Linked DNA regions of Caenorhabditis elegans. The protein of the gene in region 1 interacts with the protein of each later gene in a pairwise test. Each region holds a gene or a part of one and is shown on either strand. Other genes may lie near its edges.

The links.
Region 2: the proteins of Y75B8A.7 (region 1) and T01B7.5 interact in a two-hybrid assay, tested with the Caenorhabditis elegans proteins (one large-scale study listed by BioGRID).

The regions. Positions count from the first base shown.
Region 1 is NC_003281.10:12,149,782-12,161,329, forward strand, and holds Y75B8A.7 (U3 small nucleolar ribonucleoprotein MPP10), read left to right. Parts: upstream 1-3,117; 5' UTR 3,118-3,133; coding exon 3,134-3,204; intron 3,205-3,273; coding exon 3,274-3,454; intron 3,455-4,321; coding exon 4,322-4,756; intron 4,757-5,908; coding exon 5,909-6,066; intron 6,067-7,274; coding exon 7,275-7,624; intron 7,625-9,064; coding exon 9,065-9,816; 3' UTR 9,817-10,474; downstream 10,475-11,548. Other genes in the region: Y75B8A.8 (ARC105/Med15 mediator subunit C-terminal domain-containing protein), read left to right, coding at 11,107-11,277.
Region 2 is NC_003280.10:8,712,553-8,723,392, forward strand, and holds T01B7.5 (Sas10 C-terminal domain-containing protein), read left to right. Parts: upstream 1-4,281; 5' UTR 4,282-4,292; coding exon 4,293-4,315; intron 4,316-4,367; coding exon 4,368-4,573; intron 4,574-4,617; coding exon 4,618-4,841; exon of another isoform or gene 4,842-4,884; coding exon 4,885-4,971; intron 4,972-5,836; coding exon 5,837-5,943; intron 5,944-5,990; coding exon 5,991-6,111; intron 6,112-6,156; coding exon 6,157-6,315; intron 6,316-6,481; coding exon 6,482-6,634; intron 6,635-7,380; coding exon 7,381-7,524; 3' UTR 7,525-7,529; intron 7,530-8,960; 3' UTR 8,961-9,133; downstream 9,134-10,840. Other genes in the region: Ras-related protein Rab-21, read right to left, coding at 1,599-1,708, 1,775-1,982, 2,028-2,195, 2,319-2,456; cyn-11 (Peptidyl-prolyl cis-trans isomerase 11), read right to left, coding at 2,641-2,750, 3,188-3,368, 3,414-3,572, 3,627-3,728; T01B7.13 (uncharacterized protein), read left to right, coding at 2,865-3,019, 3,069-3,165; trcs-2 (TRansport of membrane to Cell Surface), read left to right, coding at 9,944-10,084, 10,135-10,770, 10,818-10,840.

The DNA.
Region 1 (11,548 bases):
ATAATTCTCAAGGTTGCTCATAAAAGAAGATAGTCAGGGGGGATGTCAAGGGAAAATTGGGGAGTGGATGGAAGGTAAGGGATCGAGAAGAAGAGGAAAAGTACAGTCTTTGAGGTGAGTTGTTGTAAATATTGAGAACGTTGAGAAGGGTAAATCAATTGGGTAAACACTGGAAGTGGTTGGTGTAGTGGTGAGAGTTGTTCTATCCAAAATCACTGGTTTTTGGTTTGTTTTTTCCTTAAAATCTGAATATATTTGAATATTACCATAATTTCAAGGTGCTCTTTGACTGAACCCTTCGTGGATCCACGTGACTGTCCGAGAAATCCGGCGAACCAGTTGAGCACCCCGCGTACCGTGCTCCGGTGCTCACCAGTACTGCGTCTCTCTCTCTCTCTCTCTGTGCTCAAAAACCCCCCGGCCCTCTCTCCCCTTTTGCAAATAGGCAGTGTATATTGAGGAAACAATAGGGGGCAAACTTTGCCTCTCCTTTCACTGTCCCATACACACACACACACACACACACATACTCTAATTCCTTCCATCATATCTGAGAAAGAGTTTTCGAGTTTTGGGGACCAAATTATTTAGGATTTAAGTTAACGATAGACTAGAGGGCCTGCGGGCCCGCCAGCGGTTGCTCCGGTAGTCGGCTTGGTGTCAGAGTGTCTCATTTTCGGTTTAATCCGCGTAGATCTACAAAAAATGCGGGAGTTGATACACAGAGTTCACAACTGATTTCACATGGTTAATAACGTGTTGACGCCACATTTTTTGGGCAACAAAAAATTCCCGCATTTTTTGTAGATCAAGCCGTAATGGGACAGTCTGGTACTACGTGCTACTATGCTAGTATGCAGCGGCATGAATTTTGCAAAATTAAGAATCCTTGCGGTATGCTCATGGTGTTCTGGCCTTGGTACAACAGCTAGATGAGTGCAAACGCGCTCTACCGAACGAACCCAAATTTGACCGGTTAGGAAATTTTCAATCAAAAAATTTCTTAATAGAAAAGATCGAGAATTTTTTTGCGATCATTTTTCATATGCATCGCAAAATCAAATTTGGGGTTAGTTTTCGAGATAGCAGCCAATATAGTTTTCAGACTGAGTATCATGAACCAATCCATCTAGTTTCTGTGCTACCGTGCCGTCCTCATTGAATTTTTTTCGCGCTCCATTGACAATCGCTCTCCGGACATGGGAAAGTCGTGTACTCCACACGGACAAGTGCATTTAGTTTTACAATCGAGCCGCGACGCGACACGCAACGCGCCGTAAATCTACCCCCAGATATGGCCTGGCCTAGTTCGGCAAAAACTCTTCCATTTCAATTTCTGAGGGAAGCCAGACACATCCGTGAATTTTTGACCATATCCACGTTTTTCTTGTCAAATAACAATAGCATATTCAACAGGACAATTGACAATTGAATTGAGATATGAGAAACAAGAAAAAGTAATTTGACTCCTGACTTCTTCTTCTTCTTTTTCATAGAGTGGATGGTGGATAGTGACATACAAACAGGGCACACAGTTTCGTGTTGACACTCTCTCTCTCTCTGGACAGAACAATATAAGACACGAACATGAAAAGGAAGATGAACAATGTTCCTGCAAAAAAAAGTTGAAGCTTGGAAGAGTTGGAGAAATTTTCACCAAATCAGCAATTGCCGGAAATGAAAATTTCGGGCAAATCGGCAAATTGCCAGGATTGAAAATTTCCATCAAATCGGCAATTGCTGAAAATGAAAAATTTGGGCAAGTTGACAAATCGGCAAATTGCCGGAATTGAAAATTTCCGGAAAATTGGCAAATCGGCAAATTGCCGCAATTGAAAATTTCCGCTAAATTGGCAAATTGCCGGAATTGAAAATTTTCCGGCATATCGGTGAATCGCCAAATTGCCGGAATTGAAAATTTCCGGAAAATTGGCAAATCGGCAAATCGCCGGAATTGAAAATTTCCGCCAAATTGGCAAACTGCCGGAATTGAAAATTTTCCGGCATATCGGCGAATCGCCAAATTGCCGGAATTGAAAATTTCCGGTAAATTGGCGGAGTTGAAAATTTCCAGCCAATTGGCAATTTCCGAAAATTAAAATTTCCGGCAAATCGGCACATTGCCAGAATTGAAAATTTCCGGCAAATTGGCAATTGCCGAAAATTAAAATTTCGGGCAAATCGCAAATTGCCCGGAATTAAAAATTGCATTTTGCCGATTTGCCGAAAAAACGACAATTGCAGAAAATTGTGGTTTTGACATTTTTGGAAATTTCAGAATTTCAACATTATTTGTTTTAAGTGGATCCGTCTTTTTAAAAGTCTCTTTAAAAACTTTCGCAAACGGCAAATCGGCAATTTGTCGAAAATGGAAATTTTCGGCAATTTTGCTCGTTTATTACATGTTTAATCCTAAATTTCGGTATATTTTCAGTCGCTGGGAACACAAATTTCATAAAATTTCGCTTTATTTTGTGTTAAAAACTAAATTTTCTCAGAAAAATTCACATTTTAAAGGAAATTCTTCAATTTGAACTTCCCGCTATTTTTATACTGTCTGTTTTATCAACAGGGCGCGTTTGCACTTTTCAACTTCTGGCTTTTTTCGCCTTTTTTAATCCATTTTTTCACATTTATTGATCGAAAATCTTGCGGATAAAGGCTATTTTTTCAAGATTAAATTAATAAAAATTTGAAATTACTTAAATTGAATCCTAAAATCTGTGAAAATCCCAAAATAATACTCTCAAATCGGAGCCAAGCCGTCAATACATAGAAAAAATCCAAAAAACCTTAAAACTGCTGATTTTTCCACTTTTTTCTACAATTTTCCGACACTTTTATAGGTTTTCCATGCCCTAAGTACAAATATGAACGGGATTATTCGTTTTTCTCCCCTCTCTGGCACTCTTGTCGTCTCTCGCCCTCTCACTTACCCCCGCTGTCTCGTTTTCCCATTTCTCGGTGAAATTTTGAACCAATTTTTTGGTTTTTACACTTATTTTGACGATTTTTCCAGTATTTTCGTGTAAAAATTGAGATTTCTCGTGTTTTTAACGTTATTTTATGTGGTTTTAAGTTGTAAAACTTTTTTTTGGGAATTTATCGATTTTTAAGGTAATTCGCTGCAAAAATGACGAAATCAAAGTCAAAAAAGGAGGATTTGATCCCGGAAATCGGGGATTTCACAAAGTTTTTCAAAAGGTTGGCATAATTAATCGAAAAAAATATAGAAAAAAAATTTAAAAAATCAATAAAATGTTGATTTTTCAGTCGATCAAAATTTTCCGACCAAATAACCGATGTTATTTCGAATGTCTACGAATGGTCGACATCACTGGAACCTTCAGAAGACAATCTTCCACTTCCATTTGTTTCGAAAAACGAAGAAGTCGTTTGGAGTTATCTGAAGCATCAGAATAAGCAATTAGATGGAATTAATAAGAAATATAAGGTGCTTATTCGCGGGATTTTGCTCGAAAAATCCTAAAATAATCTTAAATTCCGAAAAAACACAGAAGAAAATCGAAAAAATCGATTTTTAAAGTTCTATTTTTCAATTTTGGCGAAATTCCCTCCAATTCCCTCCAAAATGAAGAACGACCAATCAGCGATTAGCACCGCCCACTTTTGAACCAATAAGAGGAAAGGGGCGGAGTTCGAAGGTGCTGATTGTTCAGTACAAAAAACGGAGGAAAAACGAAAAAAAATCGATTTTTTTTTCGAATTTTGGTTAAATTCCGTTTCCGACCAATCAACGATTCGCTCCGTCCATTTTTGAACCAATCAGATGAAGTGGGCGGAGCTCAAAGACGCTGATTGGTCGTGCAGTCCTTATTTTAAAGGGAATTCAACAAAATTTTAAAAAATCGATTTTTAAAACGTGATTTTTCAATTTTGGTTAAATTCCGTCTTCGACCAATCAGCGATTCGCTCCGCCCACTTTTGAACCAATCAAATGAAGTGGGCGGAGTTTGAAGGCGCTGATTGGTCGGGCAATTCTTATTTTGGAGGGAATTCAAACAAGTTTGAAAAAAATTGCGTTTTTAAATTTCAAACTAAATTTTCGGGATTTTTGAAAAAAATTTCTAAAAATCCCGAAAAAAATGTCCTAAAAAATTTCTAAAAATTCCACAATTTTCAAAAAATCTAGAAATTTTTAGCAATTTCCGAAAAATTTCTAAATTTCCAAAAATATTGAACTTTTTTTGAAAATTTTTGAAAAAAATCGAGTTTTTTTTTCTGAATTTCAGGCTATTTTTTGGAGTTTTTTTTCACTTTTTTTTTCCTCAAAATTGCTTGAAAATGCTCCGAATTTCAGGGATTTCTTTCCGAGTTGATTGGAAAATCGCATATTCGGGTGGCGGCGAAAATTCAGGATTCTGAAGGTTCGGAAGATGGTTCTGATGGCTCCGATGGCGGCTCCGAAGAGGAGCTCGATGATGATGAGGAAGAGCTGGAAGATGAAGAGCTCGAGGATGAAATGATTGACGATGAGGATGAAGCCGATCTTTTTAATTTAAGCGAGAGTGATCTGAAGACGTTGGACGCTGATTTGAAGAAAATGGAAGAAGAAGAAGCCGGAGAAGAGAAAGAGGAGGTGGAAAAAGCCACAGAACAACCGAAAAAATTCAAGAAATCCATTGTGGACGATCAGTTTTTCAATCTTGACGAGATGCACGATTTTTTGCAAAAAACTGAGAGAGCTGGAGGCAAAAAGGCCGCTCAGGATGAGGAAATGATGTTTGAGGATGAAGTATGTACCTGGATGGCTGAAAATCTGCAAAATTTGGATTTTTATGAGCCGAAAAGTGCCAAAAAGTGCCCAAAAACAATTTTAAAAATACACACTTTTTTCCACAAAAAGTGCGCGAAGAAATTGCAAACTCCGCCCCCCTTTTTCCCGGCCAGAATTCGTAATTTCGAAATTAGAGTGCAATCGCGCTCCAACGCCAACACAACACAAGTATTGCCGGAATTGTTAAATTTTCGGCAAATTGGTAAATTGCCGGAATCGATAATTTCCGGCAAATCGGCAAATTGCCGGAATCGATAATTTCCGGCAAATCGGCATAATTGGAAATTTCCAGCAAATTGGCAATTGCCGAAAATGAAAATTTTGGCCAAATCGGCAAATTGCCAGAATTGGAAAGTTCCGGCAAATTGTCAAGTTGCCGGAATTGTTAAATATCCGGCAAACCGGTAAATTGCCGGAATTGAAATTTCCAGCAAATCGACAAATTGCCGGAATTTTAAAATTTCCGGCAAATTGGCAACTTGCCGGAATTGAAAATTTCCAGCAAATCGGCATATTGCCTGATTTGTGAAATTTCCGCCAATTTGCCGAAAATGAAAATTTTGGGCAAATCGGCAAATTGCCAGAATTGAAAAGTTCCGGCAAATTGTCAAATTGCCGGAATTGTTAAATATCCGGCAAACCGGTAAATTGCCGGAATTGAAATTTCCAGCAAATCGGCAAATTGCCGGAATTGCAAAATGTCCGGTAAATCGTAAATTGCCAGAATTGAAAAGTTCCGGCATATCGACAAATCGCCGGAATTGTTAAATATCCGGCAAACCGGTAAATTGGCGGAATTGTGAAATTTCCGCCAATTTGCCGAAAATGAAAATTTTGGGCAAATCGGCAAATTGCCAGAATTGAAAAGTTCCGGCAAATCGGCAAATTGTGGTTTTGCACAATTTTTTGTTGTTGGAAACTTCATATTTTCTTGTTCCAAACGAGACCCAATAGGCCAATTAGCGATGGAGCGCGATTGCACCTCAGTTTTCAAAAACCGCCTCGCTGCCATAATATATTAATCTCGATGAAAATTCCCTAAGAAAATGTGTGTGTGTGTGTGTTTTTTTCAAAATTTCAATTAAAAAAAAAAAAAAATAATAATTTCAGGATAGCTGGGACGGAAAAACCGACTACACGTATGAGGACTTTTTTGGATCTCGTGAGACAGTTGCTGAAACCGAAAAAATGAATGGAGAGAAGAAAAAAATTGAAAAAGATAAGAAACGGAAGGCTGGAGATAAAGCTGATTTATCACTTGATGATGGGTTTGTAGTTTGTAGTTTGGAGGAATTGGAGAAAAAAACGGAAAACCACAGAAAAAAACGAGAAAATCCCCCAACCAATCAGCGTCTTCAACTCCGCCCACTCCACCTGATTGGTTGGAAAGTGGGCGGAGCGAATCGCTGATTGGTCGCGGTCTCATTTTGAAAAAAATTCGGCCAAAATATTGAAAATCTGCGTTTTTTAGTTTTCAAAAAATGTAGAAATTCAGCAATTTCCGAAAATATTTAGAAATTTCTAAATTTTTGGAAATTTGAAATTTTTTTTTCACTTTTTTTTCGCCAAAATTGATGGATTTTTCATTATTTTGCGATTTTTTTTTTCGTTTTTCTCCAAAAATACTGTAAAAATGTAGAAAATCACTAAATTTATCCGAAAAATCACGTTTATTTCAGCTGAAAAAATCAAAAAATATTTTTCGAATTTTCTAGCTGAAATAAATGTAATTTTCCGGATAAATTTAGTGATTTTCTACAATTTGACACTATTTTTCAATGAAAATCGTTGGAAGCACATGGTGCAACATGACAAAATTGTAAAATTGCCGAAAATAAGTGAAAAAAATTTAAAAATCCCAATTTTCAATCTTTTTTCTAGGAACGCCGAAAAAATTGCGAAAAAAGTTGCAAAACGCGATGTTTTGAATTCCCTCCAAATGAGAACTCATCGACCAATCAGCGACTCGCTCCGCCCATCTCTGGACCAATCAGACGAAGTGGGCGGAGTTCGACGACACTGATTGGCCGGGGAGTTTTCATTTTGGGGGAATCCAAACAAAAGTGAAAAAATCGATTTTTAAAAACGTGATTTTTCCAATTTTGATCAAATTCCGTCTGCGACCAATCAGCGATTTGTTCCGCCCTTTTTTGCACCAATCAGGGTGTGTGGGAGGAGTTTGAAGGAGCTGATTGGTCGAAATGCTAATTTTGCGAATTTTTCGCAAAACTCGGAAAAATCCAACTTTCTGAAACTACGACCAATCAGCGATTTGCTCCGCCCACTTTTGCACCAATCAGGGTGTGTGGGCGGAGTTTGAAGGCGCTGATTGGTCGGGGAGTTTTCATTTTGGGGGGAATTTGAAATTTTAAAATCCAAATTTAAAAAATCGCCTTTTTTGTGATTTTTCCGAATTTAGGACTATTTTTTAATAAATTTTTAAAGCGAAAAATTCAATTCAAAAATGTTCTTCCAGAAAGAACAAAAAACGCGTTCGTTTCGCAATGGATGAGGAACCTGAAGAAGAAGAAGTTGAAGACGAGGAGCAAGAAGACATTAATGATGAAGAAGAGCCCCCAGAGGATGAGCCAGTGCTCCTCGGAGCCGACCTCGAAGAGCCGAAGGAAGAATCGGCGTTTGCCAAGCGTCAGTCCAAGATGAAGGAACGAATCGCTAAGCTTGAGGAGGAGAATTTGGCTCCAAAATCGTGGGAGCTCTCCGGAGAGGTTGCCGCCGATCAGAGAGATCAGAATACCCTGCTGGAGAAGCATGTGGATTTTGATCATGGAGCAAAACGTGCTCCAGAGGTTACCGAAGAGTTTACAGGTACGCTGATGATGGCTGGAAATTGGAAATTTTAGAAGAAAAACTATGGGAAAAGCGAAAAAAATCGGGAAAATCTCACTTTTTGAAACTGCGACCAATCAGCGATTAGCTCAGCCCATTTTTGGACCAATCAGATGGAGTGGGCGGAGTTTGAAGGTGATGATTGGTCGGGGAGTTGTCATTTTGCGATTTTTTATCAAAAAAAATCGGGAAAATCCAACTTTTGAAACTGCGACCAATCAGCGATTAGCTCCGCCCATTTTTGGACCAATCAGATGGAGTGGGCGGAGTTTGAAGGTGCTGATTGGTCGGGGAGTTGTCATTTTGCGATTTTTTATCAAAAAAATCGAAAAAATCCAACTTTTGAAACTGCGACCAATCAGCGATTTGCTCCGCCCATTTTTGGCCCAATCAGATGGAGTGGGCGGAGTTTGAAGGTGCTGATTGGTCGGGGAGTTCGAAAATTGAAAAATCACGATTTTTTTCTTTTCAAAGTTTTGAATAAAACAATTTTTTCGGCAGGAAATTAGTTTTTTGAAAAGTTGCAAAAATTTTATAAACAAATTTATTAAAATTGTATTAAAATTAACACAGAAAAAGAGGCGGAGCCTAATTTCGCAACCTTGCCGCACGGTTTTTCCTCTTTCTTTTTGTTGGTTTTTTTCCAATGAAGTTTCGATTTTACTTGTTTTATTTTCTTTCGAAAAACGAAAATAAAACAATTAAATTCAAAAATTGATTTAAAAAATGAAAACCGTGCCACAGGGTTGCGAAATTAGGCTCCGCCTATTTTCTGTGCGACAATGCTGCTTTTTGTAAAATTTACGAATGGAAATCGCCAAATTTCAACCATAAAATAGGCAAAGAGAGCCTCCGTAACACGGAAAAATTGGCGAAATTTGAGATTTGAAACCGTCGCACAGAAAAAGAGGCGGAGCCTAATTTCGCAACCTTGCCGCACGGTTTTTCCTCCTTTTTTGACCGGTGTTAATTTTAATATCCTCATAATAGCATTTTCATTCGAAAAAGAAAATAACATAATTAAATTCAAAAATTGATTTAAAAAAATTAAAACCGTGCCGCAGGGTTGCAAAATTAGGGGCTTCGCCTATTTTTCTGTGCGATGCTGATTCACGACGGATTGCTCGTAAAATTTCAACCATAAAATATGCAAAAAATAGTATTTTTTTCGCAAATTTCGAGGCTTTAGCTTAAAAATGCCGTTTTTTTTTTCAAATTTTAAGACGAAAACTGCCTCTTTTTCTGTGCGATGCGCAAAATTTTATTTTTTTCTAAATTTCAAATATAAAATAGGCAAAAAATAGCTGATATGACATGGAAAAATTGGAAATTTTCGAGATTTTAGCTTAAAAATTCCGTTTTTTTTTTTTTTTTTTTAATTTCAGCCATAAAATAGGCAAAAATAGAGTTTTTTTCCAGACCGCCTCGAGTCACTTATCAAGCAACGAATTCGTGATAAAGCCTGGGATGATGTGATTCGAGTGAAAAAAGTCGAAGCGAAAGGCGCCAAATTCGAAACTGAAGCCATCGAGAATCAAATGAATCAGAAAACTTCCTTGGCTGAGGTTTATGAGAAGGAATATCAAAATTCGACTGGAAATTCTGCAGATGGAGCAGCAGGAGCCACGAAGCCGAATGAAGCTCATGAAGCTATAAAATCGAAGATGGGAGATCTCTTCCGGCTAATTGATGCGCTAACTCATTTCGAGTATAAACCGGATCAAGCTCGCGAGGAGGTGAAAGTGGTCTCAAATATGGCTGCTCTACGTGTGGAAGAAGTCGGAATTACAGCTTCAACGGAGGCTCAGCTTATGGCTCCAGAGGAGATTTCGAAGAAGATGAAGGCGATTGAAAAGAGCAAGGATGAGAGAGACGCGACTGATAAGGCACGAGAACGTCGGCAGAAGAAGGCTAAGCAGAGGTCGATGCTGGAAAAGTTTGGCGAGGAGCGAGTTTTCGGAGAGCAGAAGGCGGTGAAGCTGGCCAAGAAGGAGAGGAAGGCTGGGAAGGAGAAGGGCGGCGGGGTGGATAAGATTAAGAGCTCGAACTTCTTTGCGAAGCTTCAGGAGACGGTGGCTGCTGAGAAGAAGGATGGAGCGGTGACGAAGAAGAAGAAGAAGATTGTGAAGAGATTGAAGAGTGATAAGAATTCGGCTGCTATTAAGCTTTAGTAATCGATTATTTTGTTTTTTTTTTTGTTTTTTGTTTTTATTTTTCTATTTTTCTATTACTGAAACACAAAATTCAAAATTGTGCATCATGTTTGACGCGCAAAATATCTCGTAGCGGCGAAATGACTACTGTAGTGTCGATTTACGGGATCTCGATTTTCGAAAATGAATTTATTTTATATGCAAAAAAAATACTATTAAAAGTATAGTTATCGATTCTTGAATTTTGCAAAAAAAAAAATTATTCTGTCGCACAGAATGTAGGGCGGAGCGTAGCTGCCGCACGGGGTTTGTCTCCGCCCCTTTTCCACTGTTTTTTTTCTCGAAGTTTCTAGTCTTTTTCTTTCTTTTTTTTTTGGATAAAGAGAAAAATAAAATAATAGTAAAATCGAAACTTTATTGAAAAAATCAACAAAAAAAAACAGTGGACGCTCCGCCCTACTTTCTGTGCGACAGAATAATTTTTTTTTTTTGCAAAATTCAAGGATCGATAACTATACTTTTAATAGTATTTTTTGCATATAAAATAAATTCATTTCGAAAATCGAGATCCCGTAAATCGACACCACAGTAGTCATTTCGCCGCTACGAGATATTTTGCGCGTCAAATATGTTGTGCGATACGCATTCTCAAAATTTTGTGTTCCCCGTAATATTTTTTCATTGTTACACCGCGTTATTCTTGTTGTTTTTTTTTTTTTTTAATTTTTACTTTGTTTTTTTGAAACGTTTTTTCCTTTAAAAAATTATAATTCTCCATGCTTTTTGTTGTTGTTTTCTATTGAAATATTCGGTACAGATTTACCGATTTTTATATCTTTGGTTTTTTTAATTTTAAATGTGTTTTTTTTTTCAACTCTTGGCGCAAATTTTCTGGCTTTTGCGTCTCGAAACGACATATTTTTATAAAATAAAAATTATAGTACTCTTTAAAGGTGCAAAATTTGTCGCTTCGAGACACCGGGTACCGCGCGTGGTGTGTTAGGCTGCCCCATTACGGTTTGATCTACAAAAACTGCGCGGGTAATTTTTGCCCAGAAAAATGTGACGTCAGCGCGCGCTCTTAACTATGCGAAATTAGTTGAGAACTCTGCCGCATTTTTTGTAGATCTATGGTAGATCAAATTCGGCGTAAAATCCCCTAATTTCCCCAATTTTACAGGGTTTTAATCGTCGCCAATTTTCTCCACTGAATCTCTGAATCTCTGTCTCATTTTTCGAATATTTCTCACACACCCACCACCCATCTAAACGTACAGAAACCAACAAAAAAAAACAGTGATTAGAAAAATGCAAAATTTCGGTGGTCCCGGAGGTCCGATGTATGGAGGAGCTGGTGGTGGTGGTGGAGGACCACCACGGGGTCCACCACAGCAACCGCCTCAACCACAGGGTGGTGGTGTTGCAGTGCCGTTTCCGATTCCGCAGGGTATCACTCAGGCTCATTATCATCAGTATAAGGTATATAGAAAAACTTTTAAAAAATCCGGCGAAAAAATAAAATTCCCACCAAAAAGAACTGCGACCAATCAGCGATTCGCTCCGCCCACTTTGCAACCAATCAGATGGAGTGGGCGGAGTTTGAAGCCGAGCAAAACCCAATTTTTTTTAAACCAAAAAATGAAAAATTTCGTAGTTTCAAACTAAATTTTCATTTTTGAAAAAAAAAATCATTTTAAAACTATTTTTTAATTTTCGAAAAATCGAAAAAAAAAGTCTTAAAATTTCTAAA
Region 2 (10,840 bases), on another chromosome or scaffold:
ATGCAGTAAATATGAAAATTGATTGGAAAAGAGATAAAACTGCCTGAATAAAAAATTATACTTGTTTCCAGTACTTTGAAATCTGCTTCTCCAAAGTCTACTCATTTTCGTGGAATTTATGCAACTCAAACAGTGAGTGGGTTTAAAAAATTCAAAACTTGAATAAAAACTGATAGAAGTTTTATTCTTATTCAACTGACCCATTCTACATTTCTGATATAATTCATCGCAAATCCACCATCAGACGGGAAAACAAAAACTCTTGAGATTATGACATTCCAAGTACCAATAAAAGGTAACATAACAACTAATATTCTGGCAATCGGAATCAACCATAAGTTTAAATTATGTTTAAATATAATTAAATTATTCTTGAGAAACTAGACACTCAGTTACAGTGCATTTTTTTTTCCACTTCTACGACTTTAAAGGCGCGCGCCTTTTTTTTTTGAGCAACTGATTTTGAAAATCTTGCATGACTCATAGAAACGTACACAAACTTTGTTGTTATGGAAGGATCCCAGAAAAAAGGACTAATTATAGCACAAAGGGGAGGTACATACATGAATAATCGAACGAAAAACATATCAGTTAGAAGAAGAAATGTGCTCTGGAAAGATATGGATTAACTCGTGCTTCTGCTTTCAGAAACTCACTGCAATCGAATCCATCACATATATTTGAAAAAACGAGTTATTGCGGAATATCTGCCTTTCTTTGAATAATAAAACTCTTAATATCAAGATATGTAGGAAAACTCCAACTCCAAGATAGGAGGCATTCACAAAATATATTAAAAGCTGAGATATCAAATTGTAGTTGCTACCGCATTTGAATGATATAGTTGTGGAATTATACATTATTCAGAACAATGTCTCGAAAGTAATCTTTCCAGGAATAGGAAGTTGAAAATTTTGAGACTGAAAATGGAGCAAGCTTCAACATAATAACACCTGCCAACATTTGCGTGAAAGTTTAAAGGGAAAAAATAAATGATCAAGTATTACATATCCATTTTTTTTCTATCATCAGCTCACTGTTCTGTGATCTTTTATTTTTAAAAATATTGTGTATTCTGATGGTGATCACGCTAGATCTCTACAGTATTACGGTAGCTACCGCAGTAGCACTAAATTCTGAGAACGCGTATTGTGCAACATATTTGACGCCCAAAATATCACGTAGCGAAACCTACAGTAATTCTTTAAATGCCTACGGTAGCACCTGTGTCGATTTACGGGATCGATTCTCGAAATGAATCGTAGAATATTAAAATAGGCAAAAAATGAGAAAATAATATGAAGAATCGAAGGAAAATGGAGTATAGCAGTCACTATACGTTAAAAAAATTCATTTCGAAATTCGAGCTCGTAAATCGACAGGCGCTACAGTAGTGATTAAAAAAAAAAATTAAAAAAAAAAAATTGAACCATTAAGATAGAAATATGATTTTATTATTGTATGAATTGTGCGTAAAGTTTGACAGGAGTGCGACTAGGAAAGTGACGTAGAGGAAAAGAATCGGGAAAAATGAACAAAATAATACAGGTGACCGGTATAAGGGGGGAAGTGTTCAAGCATTCATTAAGCTCTTTTAATCAGCGACAGCACTTTTTACTCCTTTCTGCTTCGTCGTTGTCAATTAATCGGATGGATCGATTCGTAGATGGTGGTTCTGTCGAACGAGTACGCGAATGTTCGATCATTTCTGAAATTTTTGGTATTTTTTATTTAGGCAATACCCAAGCCATGCAAAACGTTTAGGCCAACTTACTCGCAGTTAAAGATTCAAAAGCATCAGAGATTCCAACATTGTCCTGAGCAGAAGTCTCCATATACAATGCCCCTTCTGATTCTGCGTATGCTTCCGCATCCTGTCGAGTGACCTGCCGTTCTTCTTCAAGATCAATCTTGTTCCCGACTATCAGAATCTCTGCAGTATTTCCCAGGCATGTTTTTATTTCGAGAACCCAGTTCTTAACCTTAAAAAAATGATTTCAGTGGTGCTCTTTAAAATATTTTGATACCTTTTCAAATGACTTTCTATCAGTGATATCGAAAACCAGTAGCACGCCATTGCTTCCTCGATAGTAGATTGGACCGAGTGCGTGGTATTTCTCCTGTCCAGCGGTATCCCAGATGTGTAGGTCAGCTTGGCAGTCTTCTACATTCACAGTTTTGTTTTGGAAGCTTGCCTGCAATATGAAGAACAATTGGAAAATATTTTATATGCATATCAAAATCTTGATAACTGAATGAAGAAAAACCCAGAAATATTTTTTTGGATTATCTATCGCAACCTTTTTCTAAATTATTACCTGAATCGTCGACAGGTGTTTGCAGCTGAATTTATTTTCAACGAATCGAAGCACAAGTGATGATTTACCAACACATCCTTCGCCGAGCAACACGATCTTGAATTTGAACGACTTCTGATCCACGTTGGTTTCGAGCATTTATTCTGAAAGTATTCGATTTTGAAGGTTTATTTTCTTTACTTCGCTTTTAAAACTGAACCAGATATACTAACAGTCACTTATACTGTCTTTTCATTTCATTTTTCAACCCATATAATCAGAAGTAATTAATAGTTTATTGTGAATATAACAAAACGAGATCAAAATAACAATACAGTGAAAATTAGAGTTGGCCACATTGAACAACAACAATCGGAAGTTTCGGCTTGTTATTGGCTCCAGTTGGAACATTTTCGATTTTCCGAACCGTCAGCATTCCATCGAGTACTCGTCCTGCAATAAACGATCGGTCAGAAATATCAAACATATCAATGGCGTCATTAACTAGCTTTATCTCGTATAAAAGGTGATAAGGATATAAGGAAATCTAGTTGTTTTAGCTAGACGATGACACGCATTCTCGTTCTAATTTTTTTCTTTTTAAAATGCGTTTCATTGCAAACATTACTTCCTTTATTGTATGCTAACGCTGGCATGTTCAACCCATATAATCAGTATAAAACAACAACTATGGCACCATCAATGTATCACCAACATTATCAGTGGGTATCATTAAAATTTGCGATTTTCTTTTTAAAACACTGCTTTCAGGGGATTGGGATGGAGAACTAATGACGTTGGAGACATTTATCACAATCACAATCCGTATTCTTCTTTCTTTGTACTACAGAAATCAACTTATCCGTGAATTTGAAATAAAAAAAAATTACCAAAAACTACATGTTTGTTGTCAAGGAAATCGGTTTTTGCGCAAGTGATAAAAAACTGACAACCATTTGTGTCAGAGCCAGCGTTAGCCATCGAAAGCATTCCTGGTCCTATGTGCTTCAGCTCGAAATTCTCGTCACGGAACTTTGAACCATAGATGCTCATCAAACCGGTTCCATCGCCCTGAAAAAATGATATAACTTTAAAATTTAAAATTGTTAAACTTACGTTGCAGAAGTCGCCACCCTGAATCATAAAGTCCTTGATCACACGATGAAATGTGCAGTTTTTGTATCCGTTTGGGACACCATCTTTTTTGTATTCTCCTGTACAGAACTGACGAAAGTTTTCAGCAGTTCTCGGTGTTACATCAGCAAATAACTCGATCTGAAAAATTATGAAATATATAGCAAATTAAAACTGGAATGGTCGTCAACTTACAACAATAGTTCCGATTGGTGCACCACCGGCGGTAACTTCTAGAAAAACGATTGGGTTATCCGGATGACGGAGCTGCTCGGCAAACTTGTCGTATTCAGTCATTCTGAAAAAGAAAACATATAAATGAGTTAGTTTTTAAAACCAGAAAAACGTTTTCTGTAAGTATTCGAAATAAGTATTTTCGAAATGTGTCAGGTTTTTCCGAGAATAATGGGATCAACTGAACTAATCGTTCATAAGTTTTATAACCAAGAAATACAAATTCGTCAATAAAATTCGACATATTCAAGAAAAAAGTGATATTCGTTCTATTCAAAACAAAAAAAGGTGAGCATTAAATGGGTGTATAGAACAATAATAAAGTGCGCGGGTAGTTTGCAATCAGAAACCCCGCCCACAAAGCCCTGCCGCTAATAATTTTCCCCCGTCTTTTCTCAAATTCAACTCGAAAATTCAATTTTTGAATAATTTATCTTGTAAAAGTTCGTTCTATTCATTTAAAAATTAATTTATCGAAGTTTATCACACGATTAAAGCATAATTAACTTTATTAGAGTTATTCATTGATTTGAAAATCAGAATTTGGTTTATTTTCGGTCGGTGCAATCCGTTTCTCTGTTGAAAATGCTATAAATTGCTAATTTTTGGATTTCAGATACTAGAACTATGTCATCAAGGAAGGGGAAAGCGTAAGTTGAATGTTTTTCACAATTTATAAATAATCATTAAATATATTTTCAGATCTGCTCATATCTCATACGAAGACGAAAATGATGATCTCATTGATGAAATCAATACTTTTCATAACAAAGACAGAAAAGTCGAAAAGGGTGCTATTCACAAAAGAAAAACATTCAATCGTCCAGAAGAGGTGTTAAACGTTGAAGCAGAAGCATCGGATAGCAGTGAAGACGATGGATCCGACTTTGATGATGACGATGTTAATGGTAGTTTTCTTTCTGAATTACCTGATTAACGTAATTTATTTAAGATATCACGGACAACAAATGGGGTAAAAAGAGGAAAGATTTCTATGGAACTGGATTCGTGGATAAAGATTGGGGCGGAATGCGTGAAGAAGAAATGGAAGATGCTCAACTCGAAGAGGAAGATGCGTTGACTCGTCAAAAACAAATCGACAAATCGACAGCTGCCATTGCTGATTTATTTGACGACGACGATGAAGATGAGGAAGAAAAAGAAGAAACTGTCGAGGTAAACGAATTGAAAGAATAATTAAAATAATGAAAAGTTTTAGGTGGAAACAGTTTTAGAATTCAATGAGGAGAATGCAAGGACAAAGAACAAAAAAATCGTGAAAACTCTGGAACAATTTGAAGCAAGAGTAAGTTCTAATTTTTTAAAATGTCTCTTCACTTTTTTCCCGGTATCAGTTGCAGCTTCTTCCTCTTGTGATAATTTCCTATTTCTTCCTAATGCCAATTCTCGAAAGTTTATTAAATTTTGAAGCTATCACTTGTGAACATCAAATGCTGATTCGTATCGTTTCCAAGGTTAATTTTTCGTGTTCTCTCTTTTTCAGTATCTTCCCGTTTTCACTTCATCTGTTCTCTTCATTCTTTCAACTAAACACCACCGATGGCTAGTAGATAAGCGGTCTCAAATCGCGCAATCGTCTCTGATTACGTCAAAAACGGGTTGCCATCATAGCCTAAGGATGCTGGACGATTCGCTTTAAACGATGATTCTCAACGGACAAAACACACAATTGAAACGATTTAAATCATCCAACATCAGACGCCGTTATGTGTGAACATTAAAAAGCGAAAGCAAAGTGCCCTTCTGGTGTCTGAAGAATTCGATGCCTGAACTGCTCGAGTTAGTTTCGTATGTTCTCATCCTCAAACATCACATTCTAATTATTCTCATAACTTGTCTTGTTTTCCTCGTTTCTGTTCACCTGGTCGGTTTGTAATTCACACCAAACGATGTTGGACATATATCGGCAGCGACCGCCAGCTTTTTCTGTTTTTCAATTATATATTGCTACTTTCAATTCTAATTAGCGGCTAAGAATTGTTATACAGCTGTTTCCGGAGAGCTCGTGACCAGTTTCCTTTTCACCTGATAACATTTTCTCTTGTTGTTATCTTTCTCTTCTTCCTTTTCACTTGTTTCTTTTCATCACCATTCTAACAGTTCAATTTTCCCCTTTTTTCGGTTTAATTTTAATTTTTTATACTTTTCAGAAACGCATCTTCGATCTCGTCGTGAAGCCTCTTGAAAATGTAATCAAGCAGATTCCAAAATGCGCATTGCGATCGCAGTTAGTCTACGTTGCCCAGACATATGCATCGTATGTTTTCTTTTCCTAAATTTCCATTTTTATGATTTATCTTTCAGATACCTCATGAACACAGCATTCCTGTTGAATCTCAGAGCCAAACAGTTTTCCAATGAAAAACTCGACGATCCACTTGTTGACATCCATCCTGTAGTGGAGTCGCTGAAACGACTTGAAAAGGTATTCCGATTGATTTAAATTTCAAATACAAACTTTTAAATTCAGAAAATCACCGAGTGTGAAGATTTTTTGCATTCGAATTCGGATCATCTGGATGAGCTCAAGAAATGGGCGGAGTCGGAGCCAGAAAATATGGAAGAATTGATTTCGAAGGTTGGAGATGTTCAACTTACAAAGAAGAATTTTGGAGCAATTATGAACAATGTAAGTTTAGGGAAAACATTATTCGAATTTAAATACATTTTTTGTTTGCCGTATATTTTAAAGATTTTTAAAGTTTGTAAAATTTAAAAAAATTGTACATTCTTTTGTCAATAAAAATCAGGAAACATAGCTGAATTGGATTAAGATCTGGATTTACTTTTTTCAGAATCTTTCAACAATCACATCTTCTGATAACACATCAATTCATCCACACTTCACACCAATGGATGCAGATGAAAAAAGAAAGGCCTCTGACAAAGTTGCCAAAAACCGTGAATACGCAGAACGACGTGGGAAAAAGAAGGCCAAGACCAGCAAGGTAACTTTATTTTCGATTTTTTATCTTATTTTTAATACCAAAAATATTTGTATCATAAACAATTAGTGTATGAAAAATAATTCGATGAGTAGGGTCGACATTTCTTGTGCATGAAAATGTTGTTACAATGCTTTCACGAATACATGAATATATTTGAAAAATAACAATTCTTGTTTGACAAAAAAGTCTCACAAAGCCGAGTTTCATGTGAGATCAAAATATGAATACACTACATAACTCTCTATTTTTTGCTCCAACCCAAAAATCCAATACGTCGAGACGGCGTCTATGCTCCCCACCACAGCGAGTAATTGGCTGCCGAAATCTCAACTTGCTTATTTGGTTTCTATTTTTTTAAGATTCTTTTTCGAGAGTTGTGATAAGAAAATAATTAATTCAGTATCACACCTGCTTGCTACTGAATTCAAAAAAAGTTTTTTAAAAAGCGTAGTGTAATGAATTATCTGAAGCATATTTTAACTCAAAAAGAAAACCGAGCACAAATGAAGCATATAACCATGACTTATTCAGACAGATAAGTAATACGATTTTGTTTAATCTTAATTTTTCTTGAAAGAAATAAAATAGACTCACTGTGACATAGACAATTCAACGTCTAGGCGACGACACTTGAGAGTTTCATCCTTGGTTACGTATACTATGCTCATTTTTACTGCAACTCCCAATTAGCTGCGTTGTGTGTTTTTTTTTTTGAAGTCTCCCAGTTCAATAATTTCTAATTTCAGACTAAAAATCGTCGCAAGGTCCACGCCATCGAGAAGCGCGTCAAGTCTCAGATTGGAAACGTTCGTCGCGAAATGCAGAAATATTCTGGAGAAACGAGCGGAATTCGTGCATCTACAATCAAGTCGACTAAGCTTATCGCTTAAAAAAAGTGAGTTGAATGTAATGCAGACATCTCATTCTGATATCGTGCCATGTCATATTTATCACGCGACATACTCTTCACTCTCCACTGCGCAAATGAGCTTCACTCTTTTACACATGAAAATAATTAGCATATGAAACCGAAAACAATGTGAATATTAACTTTCAACATAAATATCCTATCAACATATAAAAACAATGAAAAACCTGAATTTACTTATCATATGGTACGTATGTTTAACCTTTTCCTATTCCTCTCGTTTGCCCTTTTAGTCGGTTGAATGTGTTTTTGTGTGCCCGGTCACTTTGGGGCTATATTCATCAAAAGAGGATAGCCTTCTTCTTATTCTTCCTCCATCGGTCATTTCGCTCCTCTCTTTTCGACCCCGGCAATATGTGCGCGAGGTCTGGCACCACCGTGTGTGTGTGTGTGAGAGCGAGTATCCTATTTTTTATTCGTGTCCCCCGTCCCCATGAACGACTGGAGCCCTAGCCACCTGCTACTTTCCATTTTAGTTCAGCTGACCTCGTATTGTCTACGAGCTGTTCATAATTTCATAAGAGCAATAAAGTGTACTATAAAACTGTGATTTCAGACTGTTTCTCTATTTTTGAATCTTTTTAAATACAACAAATTCGAAAAGGTGTTGACTAGTCTGTCTGAATGAATATTTTAATTTGAGATTTGAGTCTGATGTGTGTTACACATTGATGAGAATTTAAAGTAATTGTGACGTGTCATTCTCGAAAACCAAGCCTCTTCGGATTTGTTCAATAATTCGTATAGCTCGTTTCATGTCAGAAAGGCGAATACCCGTAACTAAATTACTTTTTCCTAGAATGCTAAAGAAAATAACTGATCTATTTCAATCAAGTTTAGGCTAAAATTTAATAATTGATGGCGTTCACATATGTGTGTGTGCCTGCGTGTGTTTGCGTGTTCGATGATAAGCTTTCTTCTGATTGTCTTCCTATGATTCATCAATTCTATTGCCTCCAGCCTCTTCTTCTTTCATACAATTTTTCACTGAAAGTTTCATAGCTCTCGGAAAATGCCTACGACGAAAATTGTAGTCACATATCACATATTGATAAGCAGACGTTTTTCATATTTCTCTATTTCTATTCAATGATATAAAGTGGTCTGCAGCATGTTTGATTATTAATTTTTTTTTTTCTAAATTGAATTATCTTGGCTTTGAACTGATTAAAAAATGCATTTTCTATTTTCTTTACAATCGATCGTTTTGTTATAGTCCTCGTGTGAATTCTAAAAATGTTCGTTCATCAGAAATTATAGATGACCTTTGTTTATTTTGTGTCTTCTATGAAAAAAAAAAGAGCCTATCATCCAAAACTTCTGATATCAACGGTTGAAAATTAATTTTTATCAATTTTCTCAACATTGCATTACCTTTTCAACCAATTTAATTTTCAGGTGTCATCAATTTCTCCGTTGCCACTGCATTCAGCTGGACTTTCCTGGTTTTTTTGATCGTTAATATCTTGTTTTCTTTGATTTATTCATTTTTCATTTATCCTGTTAACCTTCGTTGTTGATTTTTTTTGTTCCTAAAATCGCCCTTTCTACCAAAATGAAGTTGAGTTTTCAATTTTATTGAAAATAATTATTTTATTGCCTTATATCGGTTTGAAACCCGACGAATATCTTTCTTCTATTATCTTATTATTGTCATTTCCCATATTCACATTACTTCTTCATTATTATCTTCATACATTGTTATCACATGGCTCCTCATTGATTATGATAGATTCATTTCCCCTCTGGAGATTTGATTGTCTTGGCAACAGTCATTCTCCCCACCAACACATATCAGCTCGCAGCTCCGCCTCATTCTACATTTTCTCATTTTACATTCCATTCAGTCGGCTCAGTGTCTTTCGTTTCCCCAAAAAGCTCGCTTAGATATAAACCTATAATTATCAGAGTGTTGAAGCAAACATCTCCGATGCTCGGTGAGCTGCAGTGACTAACTGAGACAAGCACTGGTTTTCAGCTTAGAAATTCACCTGTTTCTGTGGCATTTTCGCAATATTATATTTCCTGAATTTCTTAGAATCAGAGTGTCACTGTAATTTCAGCTGCTCGTTACCGAGGCTTCACGTAATGGGCGGACGAGTACTGTTCCCCAATGCTCCCCCAATCTTTGCACTTTTTTATCTGCTCATGTTATTTTTTCTTATAAGACTGGCAGACGGTCCTTTGTGCATCCGTCGAGCTCACATTTTTCTCTTTATCACAGCTTGCATAACCATCGCTCTCACTTTCCTTCTCCCTCACCGATTTTCCAATTTTCTTCTCTTTTTTTCTCTTATTCTTTCCGCTTTAAACCTCAAATCAAATTGATTTAAACGTAATTTCATTAATATTATTTCAGCATTGCACTCGATAGTCGAATGATGTCGAAGATTTTAGGAGATGGACATGTTCGGAAAACCGGTAGATCTTGTGTGATTTTGGAAAAACAACATAATCGTCTAGTTGACTTACCTGATAGTGCTTTACGGTTGAATTATGAAAAGAAATATTATGAACCAGAGGTAAGTTCTTCGAATCGTGGCTTCAAAGAACTTTAGAAAATAACTTACAGAATGGTGATCATTTAATATTTTCTGCTCAACTTCAAAATGGTCGTTATAGTGCATTGACAGCAATTAAACCAACTGATCTTTTACAAGTTTATGGAAGTCTTTCTTATTTGGATGAACAATTAAAATTTGGGCATGTTTCAATTCATGGAAGAACTGCGAAAGTTTTTGTTCCTTTTTCAACAAGAACGACGAATGGAGCGTGTTGGTACGGACAAGGAGCATATATCGACAAACCTTATCTCATATACATTTTCCGTCAAGAAGAAGCTCACGGCTGCAAGTTTGTAGCATGGGCTATTTATGATGATACTAGAAAGACGACAAGCGTACCACCTACTCCTACGGACATTCAAAATACCTCACATATGAAGAAATTGGGGCCTCCAACCGCCGTTCAACGACAATCGGATCATCAATCAGTTGAATTTGTTCAAGCTCAATCGGGTGTTATCTATGATATCTCTGACAATTACGTGATATCTGTGACTTCTCCCACTTGCCAAAATGTTGAATTTGCACCTACGTTGTATGAAAGTTGGATGAGACCAGGTCGTTTTATAACCTTTGATGGGCGTCGTGTTTCCGATGTCAAGACGTCTAAGCTGATGGGAAGTAATCCTGAAGATATGGGCTCGGTAATTTAAACTAGAGTAAAATTAATACTAATTTGTTTTTTTTGCAGATCTATCCAATTAGAAAGTTGAC